Styela clava: one gene and its partners. The protein of the gene in region 3 purifies or fractionates together with the protein of the main gene of each other region. This does not show direct contact. Links are inferred from orthologs where the notes say so. Each region holds a gene or a part of one and is shown on either strand. Other genes may lie near its edges. The genes, in order: U5 small nuclear ribonucleoprotein 200 kDa helicase-like, uncharacterized protein LOC120343293, uncharacterized protein LOC120345481 and ATP-dependent RNA helicase A protein-like.

The links.
Region 1: the proteins of uncharacterized protein LOC120345481 (region 3) and U5 small nuclear ribonucleoprotein 200 kDa helicase-like purify together in Homo sapiens (affinity purification with mass spectrometry; 3 studies listed by BioGRID and IntAct, with this or other methods). This does not show direct contact. The link is inferred for Styela clava from reciprocal best matches to the Homo sapiens genes FUS and SNRNP200.
Region 2: the proteins of uncharacterized protein LOC120345481 (region 3) and uncharacterized protein LOC120343293 purify together in Homo sapiens (affinity purification with mass spectrometry; 3 studies listed by BioGRID and IntAct, with this or other methods). This does not show direct contact. The link is inferred for Styela clava from reciprocal best matches to the Homo sapiens genes FUS and HNRNPUL1.
Region 4: the proteins of uncharacterized protein LOC120345481 (region 3) and ATP-dependent RNA helicase A protein-like purify together in Homo sapiens (affinity purification with mass spectrometry; 4 studies listed by BioGRID and IntAct, with this or other methods). This does not show direct contact. The link is inferred for Styela clava from reciprocal best matches to the Homo sapiens genes FUS and DHX9.

What each region holds. Positions count from the first base shown.
Region 1 is NC_135263.1:8,545,146-8,553,010, reverse strand, and holds the start of U5 small nuclear ribonucleoprotein 200 kDa helicase-like, read left to right. Parts: upstream 1-4,767; 5' UTR 4,768-4,807; coding exon 4,808-7,865. Other genes in the region: DNA topoisomerase I, mitochondrial-like, read left to right, coding at 92-219, 312-485, 651-721, 886-988. UniProt on the Homo sapiens protein: Catalyzes the ATP-dependent unwinding of U4/U6 RNA duplices, an essential step in the assembly of a catalytically active spliceosome. Plays a role in pre-mRNA splicing as a core component of precatalytic, catalytic and postcatalytic spliceosomal complexes.
Region 2 is NC_135250.1:6,302,293-6,310,559, reverse strand, and holds the start of uncharacterized protein LOC120343293, read right to left. Parts: upstream 3,161-8,267; 5' UTR 3,127-3,160; coding exon 2,997-3,126; intron 2,910-2,996; coding exon 2,812-2,909; intron 2,575-2,811; coding exon 2,299-2,574; intron 1,535-2,298; coding exon 1,441-1,534; intron 1,353-1,440; coding exon 1,218-1,352; intron 914-1,217; coding exon 851-913; intron 1-850.
Region 3 is NC_135250.1:20,547,255-20,554,557, forward strand, and holds the start of uncharacterized protein LOC120345481, read left to right. Parts: upstream 1-4,165; 5' UTR 4,166-4,304; coding exon 4,305-4,323; intron 4,324-5,193; coding exon 5,194-5,309; intron 5,310-5,545; coding exon 5,546-5,672; intron 5,673-6,099; coding exon 6,100-6,461; intron 6,462-6,529; coding exon 6,530-6,650; intron 6,651-6,791; coding exon 6,792-6,908; intron 6,909-7,077; coding exon 7,078-7,255; intron 7,256-7,303. Other genes in the region: salivary peroxidase/catechol oxidase-like, read left to right, coding at 1-545. UniProt on the Homo sapiens protein: DNA/RNA-binding protein that plays a role in various cellular processes such as transcription regulation, RNA splicing, RNA transport, DNA repair and damage response. Binds to ssRNA containing the consensus sequence 5'-AGGUAA-3'.
Region 4 is NC_135252.1:13,018,437-13,026,227, reverse strand, and holds the start of ATP-dependent RNA helicase A protein-like, read left to right. Parts: upstream 1-4,659; 5' UTR 4,660-5,039; intron 5,040-5,884; 5' UTR 5,885-6,796; coding exon 6,797-6,907; intron 6,908-7,279; coding exon 7,280-7,420; intron 7,421-7,791. UniProt on the Homo sapiens protein: Multifunctional ATP-dependent nucleic acid helicase that unwinds DNA and RNA in a 3' to 5' direction and that plays important roles in many processes, such as DNA replication, transcriptional activation, post-transcriptional RNA regulation, mRNA translation and RNA-mediated gene silencing.

The DNA of each region.
Region 1 (7,865 bases), on a different chromosome or scaffold from region 3:
GATTTAGCCTGCGGGATGTATTTTGCCCATGTCTGTTATTGATGCAAATGTGCAGTAAAATTAATAACCTTCCTAATATCTTCATCTTCAGCTGATGATACGTTGGCTGGGCGTATGCTTTCATACAACAGAAGCAACAGAGCTGTAGCTATTCTTTGTAACCATCAACGTGCTGCTCCCAAAAATTTTAGTGAACAGATGCAAAGAGCAAGAGAGAGGGTATAGTTGTGCTCTATATTAATATTTTGTCTCAAATCGTCAATCGTGACATATCAGATAAAAATGCTAAATTTATATCGCTGTCTTTACAGATACAAAAGAAACAAGACGATATAGCAGATGCCAAACAGGAAGTAAAAAGCGCAAAATCAGACTTCAAGCACCATAAAACAGAAAGCAACAAGAAAAAATATGAAACTAAAAAGAAAAAGGTTGAAAGACTGCAGGAACAATTAATCAAATTGGAAGTACAAGCTACTGACAGAGTATGTTTGCACATTTTGTGCTATATTAAGATAGCATCGACACAATATCATAGTGAACAATATACATTTTCAGCAATATCAATTGTTCAACATAATCATTAATATTCGATTTGTATTTTTTATATTGCAGTGTAATTTCATGTATCGGTTATTTTGTAATTTCAGGAAGAAAATAAGGAGATTGCTCTTGGAACATCTAAGCTCAATTACTTAGATCCACGAATCAGTGTTGCTTGGTATGTTCAAAATCTTTATTCTGTTCTTTTTATGCCACTTTACTCGGTGAAATTTGTGTTAACTTTTTTGGTTATCTGGGCTATCATTATTTAATTTAATTCTTTACCTTGGTAACCTTAAATACAACACTAATTTCTATTAAACTTATTATATTTGTTTCAAGGTGCAAGAAGTGGGATGTTCCAATTGAGAAAGTCTACAATAAAACTCAACGTGACAAATTTGCTTGGGCAATAGCAATGGTGGATGAAACATATGTTTTTTAAAGCTATTATCTCAACTCTTTATTTTTTACTAATTACTTCCTTGATTTATTTTGTTATGGTTTGCTAAATTTATTCGTCCGGGATTTTCCAGTTTTAATATCATCGCCCTGTTTAGTGGTATGTTTCAACAGTTCAGGGATTGCTGGCGCTCTGTATTACAGTAATTCGTACTAGTTTATCGCTTCATCAGTCTCAGCATTTATAAGAAGCAATATCAACGATACACAGGTTAATAATTGGATCAGTATTTGTGTTTATATATGGCCTTGTGAACTATTTTCTTTTATAACCATAGCTTTTTTAACCCATGAGGGTCTGGAGCCTTTATTGTGAGGGATAGTTCAGTCTATGGCCAATCATTAAAAATATCGATTTTGTAACTGTCAATATATTTGCCAACTTCATTTCTTATGGTCTTGGTACAAATCATTTGCCTATTAATGTGAGGCCAATAAAGGCTCTGGCAATACTACTGCTTTCTTAGGATTTCGCGGTTCTTATAATGATAATGAAAGTTTTGTACATATCTTCTTCTAGGCAATTTTCTATATTTGCTGCTTTATGGTGTCCGCTTACATTTTCTTCACTAAGTTTCATCTCGAATCATATAATAACATAAATACGGAGTCTGATTCAGTGATGGAGCTTATGAAGAATTTTTAGGTTTTAAAATCTTTCGTTTGTTCCTGAAATGAATTGATCTATATCAAACCATAATCGACTGACTGCTGGTCGATTGTGATAGATTTTGAATTTTTATGGAACTCTAATTTTATGTTACATAGTTCGATAGTTTAAATTCCTTTTTTGTGAGGTAGGTAACAAGGTATTTATCTCTGCATTTTTTAAGTGTTCTTATTTCATTTTGGACATGCTTATACCAACTGGAAGCTCCATAGAAACATATTTTTACTTTGTGGAAGTCCCCTTGTTAGATGTCATTACATCTATATCTTCGAAAGTTTTTATTCCACTGAATAGGATTTTTGTCACAAATTGAATTTTTTCACTACCATTTCCGTTGTATACAAACTTTATATTGATTGCCGGTTCTATAGTATGAAATTTGTATGTGACCGATTAACTGCTAATATTTTTGATTGTTTTATTAAATGCACAAGGAAGTATTTGTAAAGCATGCTTGTTGTTTTTCTTAGTAAACCATGGGGAAACCATAGTGAAGCAGAGCTCATACAAACATGAATGTTAAGCTTTATAAGCAAGTTACGATTCTGTTAAAACTGCATCCCTGAAACCAGCTTTAGTTCTGGGTAGCCTCGTGATGTTCAGTTCAAAATTTGGCACTTCTGAAGGATGCGTACCGAGATGGCGGACACCAGAATGTAGTTTGTGTACCAGGTTAGGGGTTGGGCCATAGTTTCAGGTACAAATACTACGGTGGTCACTTGGCTTGTGACAGCAATTTTAGCCTGTGCCCATGTTATATATTCATGAAGCTGGCTTGGTTTAGGTTCAAATCCTATACTTGTTTGAATCAGCCTCTTTTAAGTAGGAACAAGGATTTTTAGATAAACAGTTTTTATTTATTTGTTTTATCAATAATTTTATTACCAGTTATGCTGATTATGGAGTTGAAATAAACTTCTACTCACAAAATACAAAGTGACGATGATACCGCGCGTGGACTCTTCCATTGTTTTCGGGTCTGTGCATTTTCTCTGCATTGTTTTAGTTTTTATTATCTCATTGGACACTGTGGTAACTTTTTTGTATCAGCTCGATGCATATATGTAAAGTTTCAGTGTGAAGGTGGTTCTCACATTGAGTCTGTTACACCTAAATTGTCGTTATCATTATCCGGCAATTAGGTGTGATTTCCTTGACTCCGCGCACATCATGCCGACGTTTGTCGTGCGTTCTCAGTTTTTGAAAGTTTCTGATCCCCACACGCGTTATTGTTATAGGTATAATTATGAGATTTTTTGCGGTATTGCAGTATTGGGAGAGACGTCTTTATCACATGGCTAACCAAGGCTTTATCGATATAGATTATATAAAACATCAAGACTTGTTGCAGAATTTGGTTTTGGTGTGTGTGCGCTAGCAAAAAATAAAAAACGGTAATTTAGCGTTTTCAGGTTTTGGTTAGAACATTGCAAACACACGAAAATTCCTCTTTGTCAAAAATTGGAAATAATTTCGACACTTTAGTTCGTGTCAGTGATTCAATGAAAAGTTTAGTCTATTTCATGTTCACGTCTTCATGTAATGCCATGGAGCACTGTGATTTACTAGAAACTGAGAAATGCACTTGAGATTTCATGACACAGGCATTTGTTCATCTTCAGTATATCTACGGTACAGTCACAGATATAAATAATACAGTAATATGCGCCGCCTCGGAAGTGTAAGTCATCATGCTAAGGCATAAGGGTTAGGAATACGCTGATTAGGTTCGTAGCGGTACTGTATTACCCCAAGCAGGGGTAATTCCAGAATTCACAAGTTCCAATTTTGTTGGGGACGTCGGTTAGGCATGGATCCCGCCACCATCATGCAACTTAAAGAAATAACTGGCTGACTAATCCTGTAATCCCATACACGGCATGGGCTGGTGACCGGATGCTGGAATGAAAGGCCTGGTTATGCTATAAGATTAAACCATATTTCAAACAAGTATAGACTCGAATGCCCTTTTATATCAATAGCGATTTACAGATTTTCCTGTGCTGAAGGGTAATTGAAAGATTAAGCAAATGAAAAATTTGTTAGTGACATATTAGTTGAACAAAGTTTATTAAATATTGTAAAATGAACATTCAAACTGTTTAAAAGCTTGCAAAAATCTGTACCCAAGGAAAGTTGTTAATTCTCCCTGTCATATTTTCGAGCATCACTCTCATAGATCAGTAGAGTATAGGGTGGCTTACCCACTTAGCGGCCATGACCTATCTGCGACCATCAACTTCATCGATTAAATTAATGCCGTAAAAAATAACGAACCGCGCTGATATTTCTCACGCGTTATCGTCCACTTATCCCTCGTAGCTCTGCGAAATTACACTAAAATGCGGCCACAAATAAAAAAGTTACGACCGAAAAAAAAAAACGGACCATTTTACCATGTCGCCAACTACCCATTGTTCCTTCAAAAAAGCTTGAAAATCCATACAAATATAAGAGATAAAGAGATGAAACTTGGCAGGTGGGTAGAGTTGTGTTTCTTTTAACCATCTCTAAAGTTTCGCGTTTCTATCTTCAAAGTAGGGGGGTGCGCATTTCCAATATGTCAATAATATCTTTGTCAACTAATTTGCGACCACCGTGTTTTTGTCTGTTTGATTGCTGTGATGCGGTGCTTTGTTTATAATTTGAAGAATTTTGTTTGAAATAACCGTGTTCTTAAAATATATGACGGTCAGAAATGCAATTAGAAGCCCATTTTTCCACGCATGGCTGCGTTTGCCCTAGTCTCGACGCAGCAGAAACGATGTTCAAGGCTTGAAATCCGTGATCACAAACTGGTCGTTCGGTCCCAAATACGTCTTCAGAGTGTCGTGTAGAATAAATGCCAATGCACCTACGGTGAAAAAATTAACGGGTTAGAAATATTGGTTTTTGTTTTATAGCGGTTTGAATGAAATTGTCTGCAGACTGGCTGCACCACCCTAAGACTGTTGTGCAGAATCACATAAATTACTATTAGACGGAGGTTATGAGTGGGGCAATACATACAATATGCTTTGCTAGTTGAATTTGTTTAGAAAAACTGCATCAACCGTTTTCACATGTTATTATTTATGTTTTACCACAGATATATTAAATCTGTAGAGGAATCGCTGTCAATAAAAAAACAGCATGGCGGATGCCTCCGCCCGTTCACTGCAATATGAATACAAAGCCAATTCTAATCTTGTATTGCAAGCAGACAGATCACTCATTGATAGACGACCAAGAGATGAGCCGACAGGAGAAGTCATCTCATTGCAGGGAAAATTAACTGGATCAAAAATGGGTGATAGAGCGCAGCGTACAAGACCACCACAGATGGAAGAGCGTCGAGCAAAGCGATACAAGCGTGACGAGGATCAAAAATCTTCTGTGAAATTGAAAGGAGCAACTCTGTTATCTGAGGGAATGGATGAGATGGTTAATATATTATATAAACCAAAAACAAAAGAAACTAGAGAAACGTACGAGATTTTACTCAGCTTTATCCAGGCTGCATTGGGTGACCAACCAAGAGACATTCTTTGTGGCGCAGCTGACGAAGTGATAATTGTTCTTAAGAATGATAAACTGCGTGATAAGGAAAGACGAAAAGAAGTTCAATCACTGTTGGGAGTTCAAGAAGATACTCGCTATCATGTTTTGGTAAATTTGGGCAAAAAGATTACCGACTTCGGCACAGATAAGGATGCTGAAACCGCAGATGATAACATTGATGAAACATATGGTGTCAACGTCCAGTTTGAATCGGATGATGAAGAAGAAGACCAAGAAAACAGGTATGGTGAAGTTCAGGAGGAATCTGAAAATGAAGATGATGATGAAGAAGGTGGCGTAGAGGCAGATGCGAATATGGTTGTTTCTGCTAATCTTACCAACGAAGCCGGAAATGTCAATATCATTAAGAATCGTGGACTACATCCTCGCGATGTTGATGCTTATTGGCTGCAAAGAAATTTGAGCAAAGTTTATGATGATGCAATCGTTTCGCAAAAAAAGGCAGAAGAAGTCTTGGAAATTTTAAAGACTGCGGTTGATGATTTACAATGTGAAAATCAATTGGTAATGTTGCTCGGTTTCAATCAGTTTGATTTTATCAAAATTTTGCGTGAACATCGACAAATGATTCTATATTGCACTTTACTTGCGAGTGCACAAAGTGAAGCTGCAAAAAAACAAATTGAAGATAGAATGAAGAACGATCAAGAATTGTCAGTGATTCTCCAGCAACTGAACGAAACTGAGAAAGAAGATATCATTAAAGAAGAACAAGAACGCAGAGAAAGATTACGCAGAAGCAAAGTTGATGCTGATCTAGAAGCAATGGAAACTGACCAGACAGATGAAACTTTACAGCCAAGCAAAGGGGTTGATCTTGAAGATATCATGTTTGAACAAGGATCTCACTTGATGGCAAATAAAAAATGCCAGTTACCAGATGGTTCTTATCGCAAACAACGTAAAGGTTACGAAGAAGTGCATGTACCTGCTTTAAAACCAAAAGTTTTTGCTGATGATGAAAAACTTGTTCCAATTGATACTTTACCCAAGTATGCCCAAGCGGCTTTTGAAGGGTTTAAAAGTTTGAACAGGATTCAGAGTAGACTTTCCAAGACTACACTAGAAAGTGATGAGAATATTTTGCTGTGTGCCCCCACTGGTGCTGGAAAAACAAATGTTGCACTCTTGACTATGTTGAGAGAAATTGGCAAGCACATCAATTCTGATGGAACGATTAATGTTAATGATTTTAAAATAATATACATCGCTCCAATGAGATCACTGGTACAAGAAATGGTTGGAAATTTCGGAAAACGGCTTGCCGCTTATGGCATCAAAGTCAGTGAAATGACAGGTGATCATCAGCTTTGCAAAGAAGAAATCAATGCCACACAAATTATTGTCTGCACACCGGAAAAATGGGATATTGTGACAAGAAAAGGTGGTGAACGAACATACACACAGCTGGTACGTCTGTTGATTATTGACGAGATCCACATGCTTCATGATGATCGTGGTCCTGTCCTGGAGTCTGTTGTTGCAAGGACAATTAGATCCATCGAAACAACTCAAGAGGATGTCAGACTTGTTGGACTTTCTGCTACTTTACCAAATTATGAAGATGTTGCCACATTCTTGCGTGTTGATCCCTCCAAAGGGTTGTTCTTCTTTGACAACAGTTTTAGACCATGTCCTTTAGAACAGCAATACATTGGCATAACAGAAAAGAAAGCAATCAAGAGGTTTCAGGTTATGAATGAAATTGTTTATGAAAAAGTTGTTGAAAATGCAGGTAAAAATCAAGTTCTGATTTTTGTTCATTCACGAAAAGAAACTGGAAAAACTGCTCGTGCTGTTAGAGATATGTGCTTGGAAAATGACACTCTAGGACATTTTTTGAGAGAAGGATCCGCTTCCACAGAAGTTTTACGAACAGAATCTGAGCAAGTAAAGAATTTAGAATTGAAAGATCTTCTGCCATACGGTTTCGCAATCCATCATGCTGGAATGTCAAGAGTTGACAGAACATTGGTTGAAGATTTATTTGCTGATCGTCATATTCAGGTACTTGTTTCAACAGCCACACTTGCTTGGGGTGTCAACTTACCTGCTCATACTGTCATCATCAAAGGCACACAAGTGTACAGTCCAGAAAAAGGTAGATGGGTTGAATTGGGTGCACTTGATGTACTTCAGATGATGGGACGAGCTGGTAGGCCACAATATGACACCAAGGGTGAAGGTGTTCTTATTACATCCCATAGTGAATTGCAATATTACTTGTCGCTTTTGAATCAACAATTGCCTGTAGAAAGTCAAATGGTTGCCAAACTGCCAGATATGCTGAATGCTGAAATTGTGCTGGGTAATGTTCAGAATGTCAGAGATGCTGTGAACTGGCTTGGGTACAGTTACCTGTACATTAGAATGCTTCGACAGCCTACTTTATACTCCATAAGTCATGATGCACTAAAGGCTGATCCTCTTTTACAACAACATCGTGTTGACTTGATTCATTCTGCTGCAAACATATTAGATAAAAGCAATTTAGTCAAATATGATAGAAAAACTGGGCACTTGCAAGTGACAGATTTGGGCCGGATTGCTAGTCATTATTACTGCACCCATGAGAGCATGGCAACATACAACCAACTACTGAAACCTACTCTGAGTGAGATTGAATTGT
Region 2 (8,267 bases), about 14 Mb from region 3:
GATAAAATTTCGCTTACATATCACGCGTGTACTTCCCGCTGCGATATAAAAACGTCGCACAACAAGAAAATGATTCCATAAACCTTGGCGTTGCGCGCAAACCAATAACAAAAGCTAGTATGATAAGGTCTTATTTTGAAGGTCATTTTATATGCTACATAACATAGGAGAGTGGACATCTCACAACGTCAGGAAGTTATAAAAATATCGAGTCGTTTGATCGCAGCTGCCTCACCGAAAAAAAGTTAGGCGTTTTATCTCGCAAATTCTCCTTGTGTGACGATTATAAGCTTTTATGATTCATAATAAATGTTTTATTATGACTCACAAAAGCTTTCAACGCGATAAAGCACAAACAAACAACCGATCGATCTATCAAGCTTAGCCTGGCCTGATTCGATGTGGTGACTTCTCAAACGGAAAATTTCCAAAACGTTTGAACAACGCGCGCTATGGAAAAGCGTTTAGTATCATATGAAAGAGAAAACCAATGTGCAGTCAACTGTAGAGTCACATTTCAGCTTTACAATAGCGATAGACGACCAACAGCTGATCGAATGAGAGAGTGTAAATATTTTTGTTATTTTTTGACGTTACGAGAGACCTCTTGAAAGAGGTGTTTTAGTTTACGGTCCTCCAGTGACATCTAGCGTATAGTACTCTAAAATACCTTTCCAATGGTATATAATTATTGTATATTGGGTAAATTTTGGGGGTCGTATGACATTAATAAAAATGTATTCAAAATTGGGCTCGATTGAGCGTCTGAAACAGGTTAACTTAATAATGAAAATTAACGTTTTAATGACAAATCTTAAGAAAAAAAATATTTGAGTATTTGTCAAATTACCTTTACTTTCTTGTTTTTCATCACCATTTTCTTCTGCTTGTTTCTCATCTGTTTTTTCACCAGCTGTATTGAAAAAAAGCAAAAATTCAAGTTATAGTAAAAAAAATTGACACATCAATGAAATATTTCACAGAAAAATTTTTTTGAGGGAGCGTGAAGCTGATTAAAAATATTTGTTAGACTGGATTTTGAAGGCCTTATTTGTGTTTAAAACATTTCATTTATTTTATTATTTACAACAAATTCTAATTCTTGACAAATTCTAAAAAGGGAGCGCGGCTTGAAAAGTTCGAAAACCATCGATCCACAGTATTGTATGCTTTTTTCCAGTAATTCCCCATAATTCTAAATTATATTTCAATCTTACTTTCACCAGATTCTTCAGTTTTCGTTTCTGCACTCTCACTCTTCTTTTCTGCATCTTCCACATTTTCAGACATTTCCACATCTTGCACATCTCGTGGAGTTGAGAACTCTTCTTGCTCAATTTTTGGAGCTTGTTCTATGTTAATAATTCAATAAATGCATCATGAATATGAATTTTATAAATTTTATCGAAAAATAGTTTTACAAAATTCTCAATAGTTCACCTTCTTCTTGTTTTACGTCTGCAGTTTGATCTGTAGCTGCAGCATCGTCACTAACTTCTTCTGCGGGTTTCTGTTCTTCTTGTTCTTCAGTCTGCTATATACGAACAATAAATGAAAACAGTCAGTATAACAGGACGTTATAAGCATAGCGTATCACGCCAAACTATTCAATCCTAAATTAGATGATTCGAATTGGGTCATAAAAAAATTCGAATATATAATTAATAATGAAAGAAACTATGTCAACTGGACAAATGTAGCCTTTTTCTACAAACAGGTAATTTTAATGATATCGAGTAGATTCCGAATTCAATTTTATATCAGAGACTAGGACCGGCATGCTCAATAACATTGGATATAATTGTCATCCAAGTAAGAAAAGTTTTTAATTTTCATACTGAGAACCTAATTTTTACAATAGAGCAGAAGATCCTATTTAAGAATAAAAAGTGTTTTGTTTATCTTTTTAATAATGAAAAAACAATACATTGAACCAACGTATCATTGACATTATTCGAATATTTGGTTTTCTATTGATGACTGCAGTAGCACTATGAACAAGGTTCTGGACGAGCAGTCACTGCTAGGCAAGAGCTATTATATTTTTGAATGACTGGAACTTGCCCAATTTGCCATTGCCTACTTAATTTCTTACACCCTGGGTTAAGCGCAGGCATGAGATTTCAACAGAGATTTATAACTTACCATGCCAACATACTCAAGTCTAACGCTTTACCCAGAAGGTCCACTGGATTGAAACAAAATATAAAAGGGGACACAAAGTTGAAATATGAAAAGAGACACAGAGGGTTTACAAATACATTCAACAGTGACTAACTTTGAAAAATTTATACTAACAGCAGGTTCTGCAACTGGCTCCGCAGTTTCCATTTCTTGTTTTGATTCCGTTTCGGCTTCCTCAGGCTGAGGAGGTTCTTCGATCTGTTGTTCAATTTCTTTTTTCTCCTCTTCTTGAGGTTCCTGTTGTTCAACTGGCGTCGGTTCAGCAACATCCTCTGTTGGTTCCTGCACTTGTTCTGTTTCATCGTTTGCTGTACAAAAAGATTCAAACTCTTCTCCGCCTGCTTCCTCTTGATTCGGTTCACTCACTTCTGGAGGTGGCTCTTCCGCAGGCTGCAAAATGAGCCAAAAATTTGCATTTTCTCTCAATATTATAAAGAGCAACTGATAATGAATCCAGATTGCCTAGCAAATAACCAATGTTTTAAATTAGGCCGATCGAGGTTGAATTGTTAAATGTTACCATAATGTTGTGTCGAACTACTGACAAAAAAATATTATGATAAAAAATATTATTATAACTGATTGTGGATAAAAAATAACTTTAAAACTATATATATTATAACATACTTCATCCTCTAATATTGAATCTCCCCCTTCAACTTCACTCTGTGCAGAATCGTCTGGCGCTTCTGACGATGAAAATTCTCTTTCTTGTCCTGTTTCGCCTTCGACAAAAAAAGAAAATAACGATTTACTTTTATATATATTATATGATAATACAAAATATGATTCAATACAAATCGTATACTCACTTTCAACTGCAGAAAGAAGCAAAGCTACAAGATCAGCCTTTTTCATATTTTTTGTGACAGAGATGCTACGACTCTCCAATTCCTTTTTCAACTCTGCTACTTTCATCCTTTTTGGATTTATTGAAGACATCTTGCTATTTTTAAGTTCAGATGTAATTTATTCTAAACTGTGAAAAGAAATTTATATACTTTCAAGTTGCATAATTTATCATTTCTTTTGGTTGTTCTTGTTTGATATATAGATTTTGACATGGCGGAATTTTCGTTTGACAAATATTTGTTTAAAATCAACGGGAAAGATCATTAACCAGTAAACATTAAAACCAGAGAAGTTTCAAAATGTATCGTATATTGAAACTTTGAGAAAATGGTAGAAATGGTGTTTTCTCTATGAATGCCAGAAACACGAACCAGAAACAGAACTACGAAACACTTCAATTCAATGATTGTAGGATTGTCATATTCTGCGGTCTTTACTATGATTGCGCTTTAACATCAAAAAAATGGAGTGAAAAAAGATAAATAGATAGAAAAGTGTTTAGGTGTCTTAAATTTTTAGATTTACAATGAGGAATGCCAGAATACTGGAATACACTTGAATGTACACATTAATATTGCACACACACCTACAGACCTATGTTTATTTTAAATGTTTTAAGTCATAATAGTCTACTACCGGTACATTCGGACATTAATTGAAGCTTTAATTCAGTAATTCCAGGATTTAGTGTTTTTGCGTTCCTCTATCGGGTCTCCCTAAAACCAGGCACTTGCGAATTCAGGCACTTTTTCAGGCACCATTTCAGGCACTTTGATATTTTTTATTTTTACCGTCGTCATTGGGATTTCCAATTTACCTGACAAGATAATTAGACTTTAAACAATTTTTTGCATCCCTATATTGCAATAAAACAATATTATTTTCAATTTATTAGGGTATAAATAATTTTCGAATAGTAAAATGTGGCAACATTAATTACAAAATATAGAAATCAGGCACTTGTGAAATTTCAGGCACTTGGTCAAAACCTATTTTACAATGTATCTGATTACTCTAAAACAGAAAATTAAATATATACACTTTGTATGGTTGAATTTGCAACACTTTGGTAAAATACAATACCGTTTGTGACTGATGGAGACGTGTCATATTTCGCAAGTGCCTGATTTTTCATTTTTCTCGGTGACAATTGCCATATTTTTTCGCAATTATTTCCTTGAATTATTTGCGTCAGCACTTGCTATTCTTTGCTTTCTAACGCAAATTCATTGTTTCACAACAATTTGAGCGTTTTTAATATTGCAATGAGCAATACCATTTGACAACATATGGTCAACCATCGTACTTTCTGGATTTATTTGAAATTGAATATGAATAATAAAATCTGGCAACCTCAAGCACAAAATACTAAAACCAGGCACTCGTGAAATTTCAGGCACTTCGTAAAAACCTATTCCTCGATGTTTTTACTTACTTTGAAGCAGAAAACTAAAATATACACTCTTTTGTATAATTGAAATGACGTCTTTTTGGTAAAAAACAAGAACGATTAGGACTGGTCATGAGGGGTCAAATTTCGCAAGTGCCTGATTTTTCATTTTTTTCGATAACAGTTGCCATATATTTTCGCAACAATTTTTCTAGATTATTTGCGTCAGCACTTACTATTCTTTGCTTTCTAACGCAAATTCATTGTTCCACAACAATTTGAGCGTTTTTAATATTGCAATGAGCAATACCATTTGACAACATATGGTCAACCATCGTACTTTCTGGATTTATTTGAAATTGAATATGAATTATAAAATCTGGCAACCTCAAGCACAAAATACTAAAACCAGGCACTTGTGAAATTTCAGGCACTTCGTAAAAACCTATTTCTCGATGTTTATATTTACTTTGAAGCAGAAAACTAAAATATACACTCTTTTGTATGATTGAAATGACGTCTTTTTTGGTAAAAAAGAAAAACGATTGGGACTTGTGATGAGGGGTCAAATTTCGCAAGTGCCTGAATTTTCCTTTTTTCCGATTACAGTTGCCATATATTTTTGCAATACTTTTCATAAAATCTTTTTCGTCAGAACTTACTAATCATTGCTTTTTAAAGGAAATTCCTAGTTATACAACAATTTCAGCGTTTTTAATAATGCAATGAGCAATATCATTTGACAACATATAGATAACCATCGTTCTTTTTGGATTTATTTGAAATTGAATAGGAATGATAAAATCTGGCAACCGCAAGCACAAAATACTAAAATCAGGCACTTGTGAAATTTCAGGCACTTTGTGAAAAACCATTTCCCAATGTTTTTGATTACTTTAAAGCCGAAAATCCAAATATACATATTTTGTATGACTGAATTTGGTATTTTTATTGTTCAAAACAAGAAGAACTGTCACTGGTAGGAATGTGGCAAATTTAGCAAGTGCCTGATTTTTTGGTTTTGTCAATGGTAGTTGCCATATCTCTACAATTTTTTTCTTTTTTTTTATATGTTGTTTCCCTATTGCATTATTTTATAAAAGTCAATGTTTGTATGAGAGCTTCACTTAGCATAAATGGAATTAAACTTTTAACATCAGTATCTACATCCGGAAATCGGTATTTAATTAAACCAATCACGCTTTTGCAAAACTATTTGAATATTGTAAAGTTTGAATGACATTGTGTTGTTTATTTTTATTAATTGAAAAGTATGACATATGTATTATTTAAATACGGGTTTAAATTTGACAGATCTGTAAAGAATATTAGTTATTCAGACTACATCTTTATAGTAATGTTCGGAACCCTTGAAATTGGTTCAAAACTTCTTCTAATTTGTTATAAACATTTCGACGTAATATATTACCCAGGTAGCAACAATCGCATTGTTATAAAGAACCTAATTCGTCTTCTGGCAATATTAGTTCAAAATTCCAGTTTTAATTATTGTTATCGGACGACGATTTTAATAATGTAATTTGGCCTATGACTTCATATAAACTACATAACAGAAACAATTGACTTATGTCGTATAGAATTTTTTATAAAACGTATCCAAGTCACATTATCCCCTAATAGAACATAATTTACCGTTCACAAAATGTATAAAAGCCTGTGCAAAATCTATATTGACAACCAGCGGTGTTCAACCACGGCTACAATAAAGATATTCAATCACTTGCTGTTGCTGTTGTATAATATTCTTTACAACCTGAAGATCTGACTGTAATATCTTTTCATGGATAGTTTACGTAGAATTATTTGTACATTATTTCATGCTGTAACAGCTAACTGTAAAACACGTAGTTCCTAAATAAGAAGAATGGCTACAGGATGGTAAATACGAGATGGCAATGTCACCTAAACAAAATTCGCTCCGCGAATGACATCAGGTAGCTGATATGCCCAAAGTTAGGCTTAAAAGCATCGTTAAACGAATATTACAATAAAAATCCTTCAATATTCAACACGCCAGTAGTCAGTCAACAAATGTTTTTGCGTTATTCAAAAAGTTACAAATATATAAAAACGTAAAACAGTAATTGTTTTTAATGTCACAGAAGCCGTATTAAACTCTCGATTATAGATTTTTCTTCATCAGTAATTGGGGATATAAATTTGAATTTAAATTTATTAAGGAGATAAAACATTAAAAACACAACTTCACAAGGGAAGTGTATGAGTGAACACTAATCGAAGCTTTCAGTTTGAAAATTATTAGAAATATTGAGTATCCAATGAAAATCCTTACTATTTTTTCAATTTTGACATGATATGATTTACGTATCTTGCAATTAGGTAAAACCACAGATCTAAGAATTGAAAATTCTAAATGTCAGTTCTGAAATTAAACATGAAAAGGTTTTGTGTATATTTTTCTACTTTTATATGTCGGGCGTATAGTTTCTTCATGTCGCGAATGAGCATCAGAATAGGTTGTGCAGAAAATGGTGCTCCCGTAGTATGTGCACAAAGTTGGCACACAACCCGAACATAGTATCTTGGAGCACATAGGCTACTACGGGAGCGCCCTGAAAATACCCACATTGGCAACACCGACTTACCGAATACAAATTTTACACTTCCACAATTTCGCTTTCGATACTTTCTCACATGTATAATGATACCAACGCTTGCAAACGAAGCATTGATATTGTACGTGCTCCCGTATACATTTCGCACTTTAACAGACACTCCAATTATTATTTTCCAGAAAGCAAAATTCATGCATCGGAATGTCAGAGTATATGAGTGGCGACGATGCAGTGCGACAACGTTCCAAATGTGATTGAATTTTTGTTGACTCCGACTTGTTCAATATTCCATCTGGGCGTTTTGAAGAGGTATGTACTCACTTCAAATATAATTACTTGCACCACCTTCGGGCAGACGTCGAATTGAAATTAGCGATAAGAATAGCACTCAATATACATCGGATTGTCTAAAAAACATTTTACCGAGAAAGCAAAGTATAGTAAGTACTAAGTTCTGACGAAAATGATTTTATGAAATATATTGCAAAAATATATGGCAACTGTAATCGAAAAAAATGAAAAATCAGGCACTTGCGAAATTTGACCCCTCATCACAAGTCCCAATCGTTTTTCTTTTTTACCAAAAAAGACGTCATTTCAATCATACAAAAGAGTGTATATTTTAGTTTTCTGCTTCAAAGTAAGTATAAACATCGAGAAATAGGTTTTTACGAAGTGCCTGAAATTTCACGAGTGCCTGGTTTTAGTATTTTGTGCTTGAGGTTGCCAGATTTTATTATTCATATTCAATTTTCAAATAAATCCAGAAAGTACGATGATTGATCATATGTTGTCAAATGGTATTGCTCATTGCAATATTAAAAATGCTCAAATTGTTGTCGAACAATGAATTTGCGTTAGAAAGCAAAGAATAGTAAGTGCTGACGCAAATAATCTAGAAAAATTGTTGCGAAAATATATGGCAACGGTTGTCGGAAAAAATGAAAAATCAGGCACTTGCGAAATTTGACCCCTGATGACCAGTCCCAATCGTTCTTGTTTTTTACCAAAAAGACGTCATTTCAATCATACAAAAGAGTGTATATTCTAGTTTTCTGCTTCAAAGTAAGTAAAAACACCGAGAAATAGGTTTTTACGAAGTGCCTGAAATTTCACAAGTGCCTGGTTTTAGTATTTTGTGCTTGAGGTTGCCAGATTTTATTATTCATATTCAATTTTCAAATAAATCCAGAAAGTACGATGGTTGATCATATGTTGTCAAATGGTATTGCTCATTGCAATAT
Region 3 (7,303 bases):
CACATTTACAGATCCGGTATTCCTGTTATCCTGGCACAATTGGACTCACCGACTTTCCACATGAACTTTCAGACAAATACTACTGGACGCAATGGATTTACAGCCAAACCGTGGAAAGTAATAATTTTGGGTGTGAGAACCTCGTCGCTATACAGGCAAAGACACAATTTGGGAACAAGTTTGCCAGCGAAACTGGAGATGTGTTCGAGCATTTTGGGCCAAATGCCGGATTTACATGCAAAGATAAGCACCAATTGAATGGAAAATGCAATAATTACAAGGTCAGAGGCTTATGCCAACGGGTACAAAAGAATTATGGATCGATGGATTCTTCCTTCAAGTCGTTAAAGAAAGAAAATGCTCTAGACCCAAATAAAATGGGTGTGCCTTTATCTGTATTGCACACAAAGTCTGCCTTCTGCGAACTATTTGGGATATGTTGTGATAATGTCCGGAGTAAACACGTTAAAAACGTCGTTCCATCGTCGGTACTTCTATCTGCCCAGTATATGTGCAAGGAATACAGACAATGTTGTGATGTATAACATATATAGGTGATAACCACTGAAATATTGAGGCAACTGAATTTTGCTACATTAGACAATCATGCTTTTATTGCCAACTCAAACAAATCACTAGAAATAACACCAAAAAAGCGGTTGATTGTTATTATCCGAGACACCCTGTGTCGCAATGTATATATAAAAATAATTTTTTATTGTATTTTTAATAAAATTGCATGTATCTGAGTGATTTCTCAGTTTATGTCTTATAATTAAACGCCATTAGCAAAATGTTTTTACTATTTATTCAATTTTTTAAATGAGTGCTTCAAATGCAACATGGGATAAACAATCTCAGTGATAGAAGAATGCAGATAAAATCCAAGATAATATTGAACTAGCGTTCCGCAATATTCATCCTTGGTTTCTAGAAAGGATTAGCTCAGGTTTCGAATGATTTCTATCATTCATAAAAATATATTTCAGAGTAAGAAAACATAATAACAAAATTTACAAGCTTCAGTAAACAGATGTCATTTGTATAAAGTCCTATTTGCGAGTACGCGGGAATTTGCTTGTGCGAAATTTAAAAAGTTGGACATTGACTATTTTACAGAGTATATTTTAAAAAAATATATGGTGTATTATCTCATAATAGCTTCATATGGAATATAATATTTTGCGACAGCGAAACAACAAAAAAAAATGTACTTACCTATTCACTCTATATTATGATAAATCAAAAATTTGAAGGCAAGCTGAAAGTACTTCAGATTTACCTGTTATCAAAAATGTTAGAAACGAAAGTAGGAAATACTTATTATTATACTATATTTTAGAAATAAATCACCACTGACGAGTTACGTATGGGTTCATATTTGGTACTGAACTAGCAATTCAAAACTGTCAGAGAAAAAGTAAAATAGCAAGGAATTACACACTCACGGCGCACTTGTACGAAAAAAAAGGCTGCATTTAAATGAAACTCAATTTTATTATATGCCTTTCAAAGTTTGTAAACATTTAGGCCTATAGAACAAAGGCAAAAGGTCAACTATTCTTCCTCATCTCTGCCTGATTTTCCTATAAAATTGTAAACTAATCACTCATGTTCGCTAAACCCGGTCCAACAGATAAATAAACTGCAGCAAAGAGTGTCTCTCTGCATTGTTATGTAACAATACAGGCAGACCCTACCTAACAGAAAGTAAACGACATAGAAACGTGGAATGAATTTATTGATTCATATACACAGCATTTAAAATATGAAACAATAAAAAATTGATAATAAATACAATTTGTGAAATATTCAATCATATTTTAGTTGTTTTTAAACACAATTCTGTTATTTTTCGCGGCGAACTTAGCAACTCGGCGCGGCGCACCGTTTGGGAACCGCTGTCATAGAGGATTTAGGCATATTCTGCATCCAAGAATAATCAAATTTGATGGAGAGACTGATGCCATTCAATGCTACTTAGGCCTAAGTTGCACTGAAAAAATTTTCAGGGATGTAAGTTTCGAATATTTTATTTTCGAATATATATATATATATATATAATTTGTAATGGTAATTCTGATTCTGTATAACACCGCCCCCCCATCTACACTGATAAATATGCCATAGTCGTTATATTTAAATACAATTATAATTGAGTTAGGAATTACGGAATAACAGCGTGGAATCGCACCTCAAAATTAGGGGGGGGGGGTGTTTGAAATTTTAGGGGGGGTGTTCACCCCCTATAGGGGGTGTAGGGATATCACTGGATCATATGTGTACACATCTGGATTAGTCGAATAACATTGAGCAAAACCATATGTACAACCCATGATGGTTGCGGTTTATCAAAAGCTGTAAATGGTAAGGAAAATATACACAAAGGGCTGAGGTATTCGATTTTGCAGAAACCCCAATGCGTCGTGCTATCACTTCATATAATCTTCATGAATAATTTTTTCTTTTTCAAATAGTACCACGACGTATTTTTTGAAATTTCTCCGAATTTATGTTTATTCATATCCTTATGTAAAATGATGTATTCAAACCCTGTGTCTCTCAGAACACGGATGATTAATCTTAATGTTAGCTCATGCCCTAGATATATATATTTATTGTCAATACTGTATCTTTAATGGATTTTTCCAGAATCGTGAGAATTTTGAGACATTTTAAGCAAACCGAAATAATTTGATCGTCAATGAAATATTTGGGTGAATCTATCAATCACCAACTATCGGCGCGGTGGTGTGGCTCAACGGGCTAAGCGTTAGGAATACGCTCGCCACCGCACCTCTAATTACTCTGCGTGGGTTCGCAGGTTCGAACCCCATGCAGGGATGGTTATGTGCGAGAGGATTGCTGGACTCCTCGCCATCGTTGGGTGGTTCACGTAACCGCTGGTCGGTTACGGCTTCCTCCACCACCAAGTCCATGCTTCCGAAAAAAACAAACAATACAGTAAAAAACTAATCCCATACCCGACTTGGAATGGTAACCGGACGAGAGGCCGTGGTTCGCCATATGGATAAGCCGTCTTATCGGCTTTCCTCTCCCCCGGGATAAATATGTAAATCCTATCCTATCCTATTTCCCAACAGTATCCAGTGCCGGATTCATCATTATGCAAGGTAGGCTGAAGCCTAGGTGCCTCGACATGCAATTTTGCAGGCTTGTTTAAAAATTTTACCGGTTTGAATATTTTTTGATTTGAATATTAATGGGTTGATAATTCTTGTCATCATTTTTTTCCCGTTATCAAATAAAAATTAAAGGGAAGTAGGATAGGATTTACATATTTATCCCGGGGGAGAGGAAAGCCGATAAGACGGCTTATACATATGTATAACTGTATTGTTTGTTTTCGGAAGCATGGACTTGGTGATAGAGGAAGCCGTAACCGACCAGCGGTTACGTGAACCACCCAACGACGGCGAGGAGTCCAGCAATCCTCTCGCACATAACCATCCCTGCATGGGATTCGAACCTGCGAACCCACGCAGAGTAATTAGAGGTGCGGTAATTAGAGTCCTGAAGTATGCGTACCAAGGTGGCGGACACCGGAACGTAGAATGTGTACCAGGTTAGGGTTGGGCCACAATTTTATTCCAATTTTCCTTATATTAGTTCTGTTACGAGTACGAGTTACTTTTGTCGGTACAGTCGATAACCGAACCGGTCGATGGGCGAGCGTCGATGTAACCCGACGCTATCGATTTTCTCGCTTTACTTGTAAAAATTAAAATTTGTCATTACTCACGTGACTAAATCCTTTTGCTTTGCCAGATTTTTCATGAAAGTTTTTTTCGACTTGTCATCTATTGTACTCCTTTCTGTCAGCCAATTGAACGGTATTCGCTAAACACCGGCACAAAAAATATAATAGTTTTCAACTACATTTTAATTGAAACAATGGTTTGTACTATAATATTATTTTGGAAATTTGCAGTGGCAAAGGAGACATTCGAGTTGACAACACACACACGCACAAGTGAAGATGAACAATTATCTAAAGACTCTATATTAGAAGAAACACATTCTTGCACTTGCTAAAACTGTATTTTAGACAATAAACACTGTGGTTTTACTTTACGGTCGAATTTGATAGATCTTGACTTTCTTAGTAAATAAATGACGGTAATCAAATAGAAAAAAACTGGCAACGTCAATTCAACGAATAAGCGTGTCGTACTGTCGTCGCTGATTTCTTTCGCTTTCCCGCTTTTCTGCTTTCAGACGATTTATCCGTCTGTCCTTGGTCGACTCTTCAAGCTTATTTGTGGAACAGGATTTACTTATTTATGGCGTCTTCTAATTCTCGTAAGTGAATTATTTTATGTCATTTTCTTATTCAACATTTGGAAACTGTCTTTATTTTTAAGCAGTTTTTATGAAATAATAATCTAGTAACTAAGCGCTCCGTTCACTCAGACTGCTGGACTGTCTGACTGTAGGTAGGCTATAACCCCGACATCAAAAGACATCAATTATAAGAGTGATTGCAAATCCTCCTTTACGAGACAGTCTGGGCCTCCATATTGACTCAAAACCGCAATATTTTTTTTCCAAGCATTACTAGGTAAATATGAATAACATAACCAGCGATAAATAAAAACAATCATCGTTGCAAGTGAGTCCTGTTAAATGAATTTATCGAAAGCAATTTAAATTAGGGCCGTCAAATTGGCATTTTCAGATTTTAGAGTAATTTATGCACGAATTTAAATCTGTCAATTTGATAATAGGACCGGCCACATGCATGCTACAGTGCTAGATAATATTTATCGGGTGACTATATACAGATATACAATGTGGGGAAAAAAAGGCTTTCGGAACAATATCGTTATCAATCGTCCTTCGCATATTATAGGTGTCATGACAAATTATTCACTGTATTTCAGCCTAAATTTTGATCCACTTTTTTCATTTTTTTTGTTATTTTTCTATATCAGATAATGACAAAGTGACAGTAAAATAGTTGGTCCAAAGTTATAAGACGACATTTAATCCAAAATAATCTTGAAAGGGCTGCACTGAAAATCCTACGGTTGTAATGAGCATCATTATCAATATCATCATCATTCAGTCATTTGAGTTTAAAAGAATCCAAACATATTTGCACTGACAGTAGGCTTTAAAAATATTCAAATAATCAAGTTTGAAATTAAATTTGTAATTTGTACTTTCCAGAATATGGATCCTCCGGTGGATATGGACAGCCATCTTATGGTGCATCTGGTGGACAGGGATATGGACAATCTAATTACTCTCAAAGCGGGGGTGGCACTCAAGGTTATGGTCAGCAGGTAAATTGTATTTGAACAGTTTTAAAATTTTAAGATTGAATTTACGTTAGTAAGACATCAAAATTATAATAATGTTAAATACATTAGCCTATAATAATATTTATACCTGAATTTAGAAAAGAGTTTTATTTATTACGATATTCAATCAATAGTGAACCATCGTTGCTTCTGGCAATCCCCGTTTTGCATAATCATTGGTCCCTACAAAATGTTAAAAAATTTTATTTTTTGTTCAGGGCTATGGATCAGCTGGTGGGCAACAAAGCGGAGGCGCAGGCGGAGTGACTAGTGCCCAAGGATATGGTTCAAGCTATCAGCAACAGGGTGGTTATGGCAGCTATGGATCGAACAACCAATCTGGAGGTATGTGGTAGCAATATAATTATGACTGAGACAGTGAGTCAGAGTTTGACATGCTTTTATTGATATAAAGTCGGAGTCCTAATAGAAATAGAAGTCTGACTTCCAAACATTTGCTTGGAGTCAAAATCACAGATGGAAACTAAAATGTATTGGGTTTATTGGGCGTTTTCCAAGTCTTGATATAAAATGAAATAAGGCTTGAATACATCAACAAATTATCTTTCGTAGCTGGAATTCTGAGTTGAAATTGCTTCAATCCGATATCATATGCCAAATTTTTATTAATCAGGAATCGGACGCATGGTACAGCAGTCATTTTTGAAATAGCTCAGATTTGATAATCTCGTTTAAATCCCCCTTAACTCAGCCCTGGTTAAATCGTATGTATTTGATTGGTCATATCCTGTACTACATATCAATTTTCCAGGCCAGGGTTATGGACAACAGCAGACTGGAGCTGCACCTGCTGCTGCTGCTTCTGCTGGTGGTAGTACTAGTTATGGTGGTCAGAAAAACAATAGCGGCTACCAACAAGGTGGAGCCAGTGGACAGCAATCTGGACAACAGCAAGGTGGTGGCTATGGTGGTCAGCAACAACAGAGTGGTTACAGTGGACAGCAAGGTGGTTATGGTGGACCACAACAAAGTGGTTATGGTGGTCAGCAGCAAGGTGGCTATGGTGGACAGCAGCAAGGAGGATATGGGGGAGGTCATCGTGGTGGACAACAGCAGTCTCAGCAATCGTATGGATCCGGTGGAAATTCAGGTGGCAGTGGGAGCTACGGCCAGGTGAATTGAAATTTTGTTTTGGGTGAATTTGAAAATGAACTGTTTTTATAATGTTTGTTTTCTTGCAGTCTGGCGGAGGTAGCAGAAATCAATCATACGGCCAACGGGACAGTGGTTCCGGGGGAGGTTCACAGTCTTATGGTCAGCAAGGTGGTGGGGGAGGAGGCGGCTACAGAAATGATCAGTCTGGTAAGCTGGACTATACTCGTTTAGTTTCAAACAATATATATATATATATATATGATTAATTTATATTGCTTGATACATAAGTTTAAATAATTATAAATTAATATTCCCATTTCTAACTTACTTATTCTTATGGCATGCTAGGTGGTGGAAACTACGGTGGAGACCAGGGTCCCAATAACTATAATCAAAGTCAACAGGGGCCCATGGGGCAATATGGAAATAAGAACCAGGGTTATCAAGATAGAGGGTATGGTTCTGGTGAGTAACTTAGCCATCTGTTTGATGGTTAGAGTGTGAAATTAGCAATATCATTTAAAAAATATTTTCCTGCTCAAGTAGGAATATAATTCAATCACTGTCTGTGTTTTTTAAATTTTTCGCTGAGGTGAATTTATGTTACTGACCTGTAAATGATTGGCTATTTCAGGTGGCGGAGGTGGTAGAGGATATGACAGTAGGGGGGGTGGACGAGGAAGCAGATTTGATCAAGGTGGTGGAAGAGATGGTGGTGGTCGTGGTAGAGGTGGTGGTGATCGTGACAGAGATAGCAGTGGATATGGTGGTCGAGGTGGCTCGCGTTCTTCAGATTATGGAAATGAATCACGGTACGTATTGTTATTTGTTTGAAATGACCTATTTCACATAATACCAAT
Region 4 (7,791 bases), on a different chromosome or scaffold from region 3:
ACAAAAAAAAATAAATAAATAAACGGATAAAACAACACAATAAATGAATAAATAGGAAATATCAAAAATGCAGCGCAGTTTCACATGGTAAACGCACACATAAACTCCTATTAAACCTCCTTATAGGCTCAGTTGTGTGAAGCATAAATCAGCGGAATTAATAAAAAAAAACTTGAAAGCTGCATAATATTATTATTACTGGCATCCAGCTAACTTATTCCAAATCGGTTAGGTGCTGTCACAGGATCTTCATCCATCGCACGCAGTATTGTCTATAGCCGACCCTGTCTGTAAGATGGAGGAAGGAAAGTGAACTGTAAGATATGGAAGGTTACTTTGTTTTATGTTTCAGCTGTATCGGCATTTATCAGATGAATTCATTTGGATTGTTTTGCACAGTCGCAACGTTCGTTTTTCAATTTATCATTAATTTAATCTCTGAGGTGTTCAGATGTATTATTATTATTCAGAATGAGATTGAATTGGGGAATCTATTTCTAGACGCTATAGTTCAGTGAAAGTTGAACTCTAAAATTTTTAAAGTGAAATTTGACAAAGTCTACTTTTTTACTCAACTTAACTGATCAATAATATAATAATTCAATTAATAATTACCATGCAAATCGGCCTAGTAGAACAACTGTTCCTTATAGTCGCTTACTTTGTTGCTTTGTTCTCTTTTTTAAATTTGTCTTGTTTCTAGAAAAATATGATTAGTTTCAATTTCATTTATTTGTTTATTCTGAAAATTCGTAAATGTAGCAAAATGAGCTGTGTCATTGAAACAAAATATACAAAAAACAATACACTATCCTGATAGATTTTCTATTGTAAATTGACACAACCAACGAGCACGACCGATAACAAGCTTTTAGTTAGCCTTAGTTTTCATTTACTTGGAAATGAAAAAAAAACTGTAATAGAAAGGATAAAATCAATAACACCTGCTGTTATTAATTTTGAAAATAGTATAACAATATTTTAAAGCCTACTATAGTCTCAGTGATCCAGTCAATTGGGTAAGCAAATTCAATGTACTGTTGCAATGCATTGATAAAATTATTACTTATATGTATTGAATTCTTGAAAAATAAACACGTCAAGAATGTTTTCACAACAAGCCATTGAAGAATCATCTCGGCCCGCTTTTTCAAATTTGAAATTAAAGTAGAAAAACATTTTATAAATTATGTCGTATAATTAGCGAATTATTAATTAATTAGTGATGAGACACGCGGTGTCACTATAGAGCCATGAATCGAAACCGCAGTTTCGATCGATAAGTCTTCGGTCTCCGACCGATATTATCGTTTATTGATTGGTGGTGAACATAAACTTAAATTATATTCGATTTATGGAGTCTATTTAAAATAAAATAAAAAGTTTTTTACAAGGTAAATATTGCTAGTTCAAAGTGTTTTGGCGGGTTATCTCTAAGGCTCCGACCAGAGATTATATGCTATTTCAATGGCCAGATAAGCTGTAGATCAGGGGTGTCAAACTTGCGGCCCGCGGGCCGCATGCGGCCCCAGAGAATTTCCAATGCGGCCCTCGAACGCCTAACAATAAATGTAATATATATTTTGTTACCTAAATGTAATACATTTTTCAAACCCTAAAGTGAAACTGCTTATTCACACAGAAAACGACAATTATAACATTGGAAAATTGAATGTTTTTGTTTTCAATTTGACACAATTATGTATGGATACACCTCAAGCTAGCAAAAGAATACTTGTAAAAAAAACACTACGGGAATTAAATGAAACACAAAGTACATGAAAAAAGTGGCAATTTTAAATAAAAGGGGAGTTGCAATATTTCTGCATTTCTCAAAATTCTAAAGCGCATTGATCAATTTTTCACGTTTCTATCAGTAAAATGAAAGAATACAATATGAGTAGACATCATCAGAATAAGCTCAGCAGTCAATATGACAATTTTAAAGATCAACTACGAACAGAAAATATTTATGTGTTTGTATACTATTATGATTATACCATACTTAGTTACTAAATATCAATATCAATCATAACTCAACCGGTCCTATGCCACGTGAAGGTAGTGGCGGGAAAAGTTTGGTTCTAAAATTTGTTTGTTTACTGATCTATACATGGAATGATGAACGTAATATTTTTGCATTAATGAAATTAATCAAATATTCTCAACGATCCAGATTAACCGATGATCATGTGACCTCGTTAATCAGAGTTGATACTGTAAAATCATTTCAGCCTGATATTAGTAAGCTGGTGGCACAAAAGAGATGTCAAAAGTCAGGACATGTTCAATAAAAAACATTGAGTTCATTCTGTAGCAATATTGTAAATTTTAGATCTATATATTTAGATTAAGTCATTTTTAGTGTATGTATTATTCTTTCCTTATCAAAACTTTGTTCAAAAATATTTTGGATAGTTATACATAAAATAAAATTTTTGTAATAAATACAGTAAATTGCAAAAATAGTGAAATGCAAAAATTAATATGTAAATGGTATTTAAAATTTAAGAAAATAACAAAACTTCATTTGACTGTTTAATTGCATCACAGTATATGTCACAAACTACACCTATTTAAAATATGCTTCAAGTATACATTATCAAAATATATCAAATCTGTTTGCGGCCCTTTGCACAATTCCCAAAATGCAATGCGGCCTTCAAACCCACGAGTTTGACACCCCTGCTGTAGATTATCTATTATATAACATAAGCGTGTAATATTTACCCCTGTGTAACGACTATCGTCGCATGTTTGCAAACGTAAATTCCCCAGTCTATAGTCGATATTTCTTTGTACAACAATGATCCACACAATTGTCAAACCATGCAGTATATCTACCGGTAAATATAAATACTTGATAAATAAATATATTCACACAATTTTTATTTATTAAAATATATATGTAATACGTTTTATATAAAAGGATTCGCATAGACCTTCAATTTTGTACAATGAAATTTACACTAATTTACTCTAATAATTGGACGCTATATGAAACGGGTGTTGCTAACGTGATATTCATAGTAGTACCAGGAACAACGAAAAGACATTTTAAAACATTGGTTGCAATTGAGCGTATGGGAATGGAACTTATATACTGCTATCGACCCACATTATGAATGCAACAGATTACCAAATTACAAATGTGTATAAAACAAGAAACATTGTGCAAAATGAAAAAAGTCTAACTTATTCGGGTAACCAAGTCCCACTTGATTAGTCCGTACAACTTTGTATGCCCATCTAAATATATATAAAAAAATTGTCTCACCGGGGAATCAAACTTTGGTTTAGGTTTAAATTGGATTTCATAAAAGATTGTTCTTTTATCTCGGAAGTTCCTTGCTTCAACCTTTTTGATTATGTTGTTTATCTCGCGATTATCGACACTTGAAATCTTGATTTGCCGGAACCCCTCAAGTTTTATAATTCGCTATTTATAAAACATAATACCAAAAGTAGCAGAATTGTACCAGCGACTTAGTATATATATATATTTTTTATCAAAAAACATCTGCTTACCTTAATGTTGTAATGTTGCGCCAAAAAAAATTAAAGACTACGGTACGTTGAAAAGCTCCTACAGAACAGACAAACCGTTCGTCATTACTAACTCCAGTGAATGGTTGAGAAAAGCGAAGCGCACATTCCCGCTCAAACTGATTAGCGATATCACATTATTAATTAACTGTGATCAAATTAGAAAACGGTCGAAGAAGAGGTAAGTAATTACTCGGACGATCCCTTGGCCCGGCGATATCATGTGTTTTTTATGGTATACTCCATGTTGATGCGAATTTAAAAAATGGCAACAAACATTGTTGCATTTTGATAGGCGTATGGTTATAAAATAGCAATCATAATTCTTTGATTATGTTATGGTTTAAGTATGTTACTCTATTTCTCCTTTCCCAACGTTAAATTGGAGGTCTTAAGATTATCTAAAAATCAGTGATATTTAAGGCAAACTTTTCAAATGATATAGTGCTACTGGTAATTTAAACCTAGGCATGTTCTAATAATGGGTTAAGCTCGGCGTGAGAATGATGCCGGACTGTACAGTACTTGACTTTATAATTTTCAGTACGTGAGCAGGGCTTGCAGAATAGTGCCCGAGTTTGTTATTTTCTGTGAACAAATATGGAGTCGTCGAATTATAGTTATAAACGCGAGATTTGACCAATGCGCAGTATGAGTGGTACACTGTAGTTACGGAGCGTAGTTTTATTCCCGTTTTCTCCATGTCCACAGCAATCCTAATGCGTAAATAAATTGTATTGTGCAGCGCTTGAATAAGACATGACGAATCTGGTGGAACTACGAACGAACTTTTTGAAAGTGACTCTGGCGGAGGTCACAAATTTTAGCCGAACAAAGTCCATTATCATGCATCGGAAAAAAATAACTGATATTTATAAGTAAATGGATATCGGTTATCATATTTTGTATATTTGAAAATCTCGCAATTCTCATAGCCGGCGCCTTCAGCTTCAACTTAAAACCTGCATATAAATGTGTAGGCCAAGCCAGCAATTTGGTGATTCGAGAAACCTTTACCATTTTTGGAACCATGTTTTAACTTGAAAGACTTCCCTGTTTTAACCACATTCTACAGTTCTACGTCCAAGTAGGCCTTAGTAGGTTTTAGTCCTTTCTATTTCTGGAATGGCTGCGAATACATTTTTCATACTGCTGTCTTCGCCAGCGTTTAATTTTCTGAATTAAGTTGACGGTTGAGTTGAACTAAACTGTATGTATCGGTATATTTCAGTATTTAGATTTTATTGTAAGTGCCTCGTCGTCAATTCATGCATTATGTCCGATTTCCCGTTGCAGCAACGCCAACGATCTCAACATTCTCAAAACCCTGCTTTTGCAAAATTTGTTAACAAAACTGATAGGAACGTTTCTGTTGAATGGCTCAACTTTCAGGGAAATCATGTTGTGTATAAAGACAGATTAGAACCAAGAGATTATATATTGATGGATACTTTCAAGACACATCCTTGGGTTTTTTATGAGAGTATTTGCAGGTACGGTATGGATGTTCAGAGTGGAGAGTACGGTACCGGTACTGGAGTAATTTCGGAAAATATGCATTAAATTCGTAAAATTCTTGTCATAGAATGTGGCAAGAATAATCTGCAATCTAGCAATTGTTAATACAGAGACTGAAAGATGATGCATGGATTGGTAATGCAATACTGCAATAATAGATTTTGTGAGGTTTCAAGGTACCGTACTTAACCCATCTCTGTACTGCTGTACAGCAGTGTCTAGTCTACCTAAATGCAGAAATGTCTTGTGGTACATTGCAGCGTTGGGTTAGTTGTAGTCTATGACTCTATTCCATGTTTAGCATTTAATTATTCTTCATGACCCTACTATATACCGGTATGTCAGTATGTTAGAAAACATTATTTGCGATTATTGATTTCAGGCATTAATCTGTTAGCCGGTATTTTTACCTTCATTTTTAATTATGGTTACGGTAATTCAGCAATTACCTACATTATGCATGAACTGTATCATTGTATAACCTACGGTAATTTCTAAATTTACGAACCACTTTTCTGCATTTAACTCACAGCCAGATGAGAGATTATGGCAAAATATTTCAATTTCTCAATTTTATCTTCATTTTCAAATTGGATTTCCATTGTGAAAATATCAGTTTTGCTGAAAGAACGGTACTCTCGACGATCTGAATGTTAAAACTACATTTTTGATTTGAATTCTGATTAGACTAATTTCTTTGAATATAGTCTAGTATTGTAGTAGGATTAAATATTATTTAATCTCCTTCTTTGCTTGAGAAATTTATTCATATTCCTGCATTCACTCTCCACTCAAGAGTATATGTTTTTTTTTTCTTCAGACATCCACTCACTTTCCTTCCTAACTTTGAGAAAATCTACTTTCCTGTTGAATGGAGTGGAGAACATCAAAGATTTCATTCCGTTGAAATTGTGAATCCTCTTTTGAATTTAAGGCAAATATGCTTGAACTACTTGCACCGTTACTTGGTGGTAAATTGTGAATATACCTCTATTGCTACATTTGACTCGAAAGTTGATCAACTCTTTGATGGATTACCTGTTGTATTAGCTAATGACTTGAAACAGTTATCGAAAGATCAGGATAATAAAAACCTTCCTATTTATTTTGAGGGAGATTAGTATCTATAATGTACAGGTCAGGATACCTACCTTAATACTGTTTACGGAAAAAATTGGCTTGAGATCTTTGGTACTTTAAATATTTTGATTGTCGTATACTTAATCTCTAATGTTTATTTGATTTTAATTTTAGAACATAAGATTGTTGTATGAGTATAATATCAACTAGTATTTATTTAAAAAACTTACATTTCTGACACAAATTTTATATAAAATGATTTTAGACTCGGCAATTCTTTCTTAAAAAACCTATATATTAATGTATATTATATGTTTTATAAAGCTGATGCTTGTTTTTATTTTTTCTATTCTAACATTATGCAAAAGTCTTCAATTTTTGTACCTTTCATTAACTGTCGTTTATTATGCACTCCAAACCTATTGTCCGAATGTTCCTAGTGAGGTAACATCTCATTAAGTTTCTAATGCAAATTTGGTGATGCTACTTGATTTTTCCGAATTGAAATTGAAGTTTAATGTGTTTATTGGTTTTGAAATGTAAAGCTAGGTTTCTTCTAAATAAAAACTATATTGCAAGTATCTTGTCAATACCTTTTAATATTATTAGTTGAATATCGTAAGGTCTCTCTGTAGTATGACATTTTTTCATTATGACTGAAGTCAAGACATTTGTATATTCATGGCTTGGAAAACAAAAGCTAACTCCAGTTTATGATGTTCAAGCTGGTGGCAACAAGTATAAACCAAGATTTAAATGTGAGGTAAGCAGAGAATATCGTTCATTGCATTTTTCAACTGAAGTGTCAACTGTCAAGCCATTTACTACATTTGTGGTGAAATGAATAAACTTATTATTTGCCACATGAGTGGATTGGGATAAATTTTGCTCCATTAATGATGATTTAACTTTAACAAAGCCAATTTGGTAATAAGGAAAAACTATTTATATTGCCAATGACATGCAGTCTTGAGTTGCTTTGAATATTCGAGTGTTTTTTTCATTTCTGTAATATGTAAATTGCTTCACTGATTGGATTTGACTATTTTAGACATATAATATGAAAATATAGTAAAGTTTATAATTCTTTAGGTATCAAACTTAATTTATGTTCAACTATTATTATTATTTTTAGCTCAGAGTTGATACAATACCTTATGCTGGAATAGGAAACTCAACAAATAAGAAGGATGCCCAAGCAAACGCTGCCTGGGATTTTGTTAATTATCTTGTTCGAGCTGGAAAAATGAAGCCTTCTGAAGTACCCCCAAAATCGGTTCGTATTTATATCTATATAAATACATGATTATCATTCAAGGATATTTTGTTTTTTCTCTTATATGTTTTGTCCTGTATTATATCCATTCGAGATTTGAAATTTATACAGTAGTATCTTTTGTCACTAGCTGGAACCTAAATCTTGAACTTGTTTAAAAAAAATGACAAAATGCTAATTTCTTTAAAAAATTGCCATGAAAAAATAACTTCACATGAAAATATGATGGGGACTACTTGTACATGTAATGATAACATGACACGACTACTGGAATATTTAAGAGTTGCTATTGGATCATATCCACTGTTGGTGCCAAGATACAGGTAGGCATGGACCTTCAAGCCGAATCTGTACATGTTGTACAAAAATAA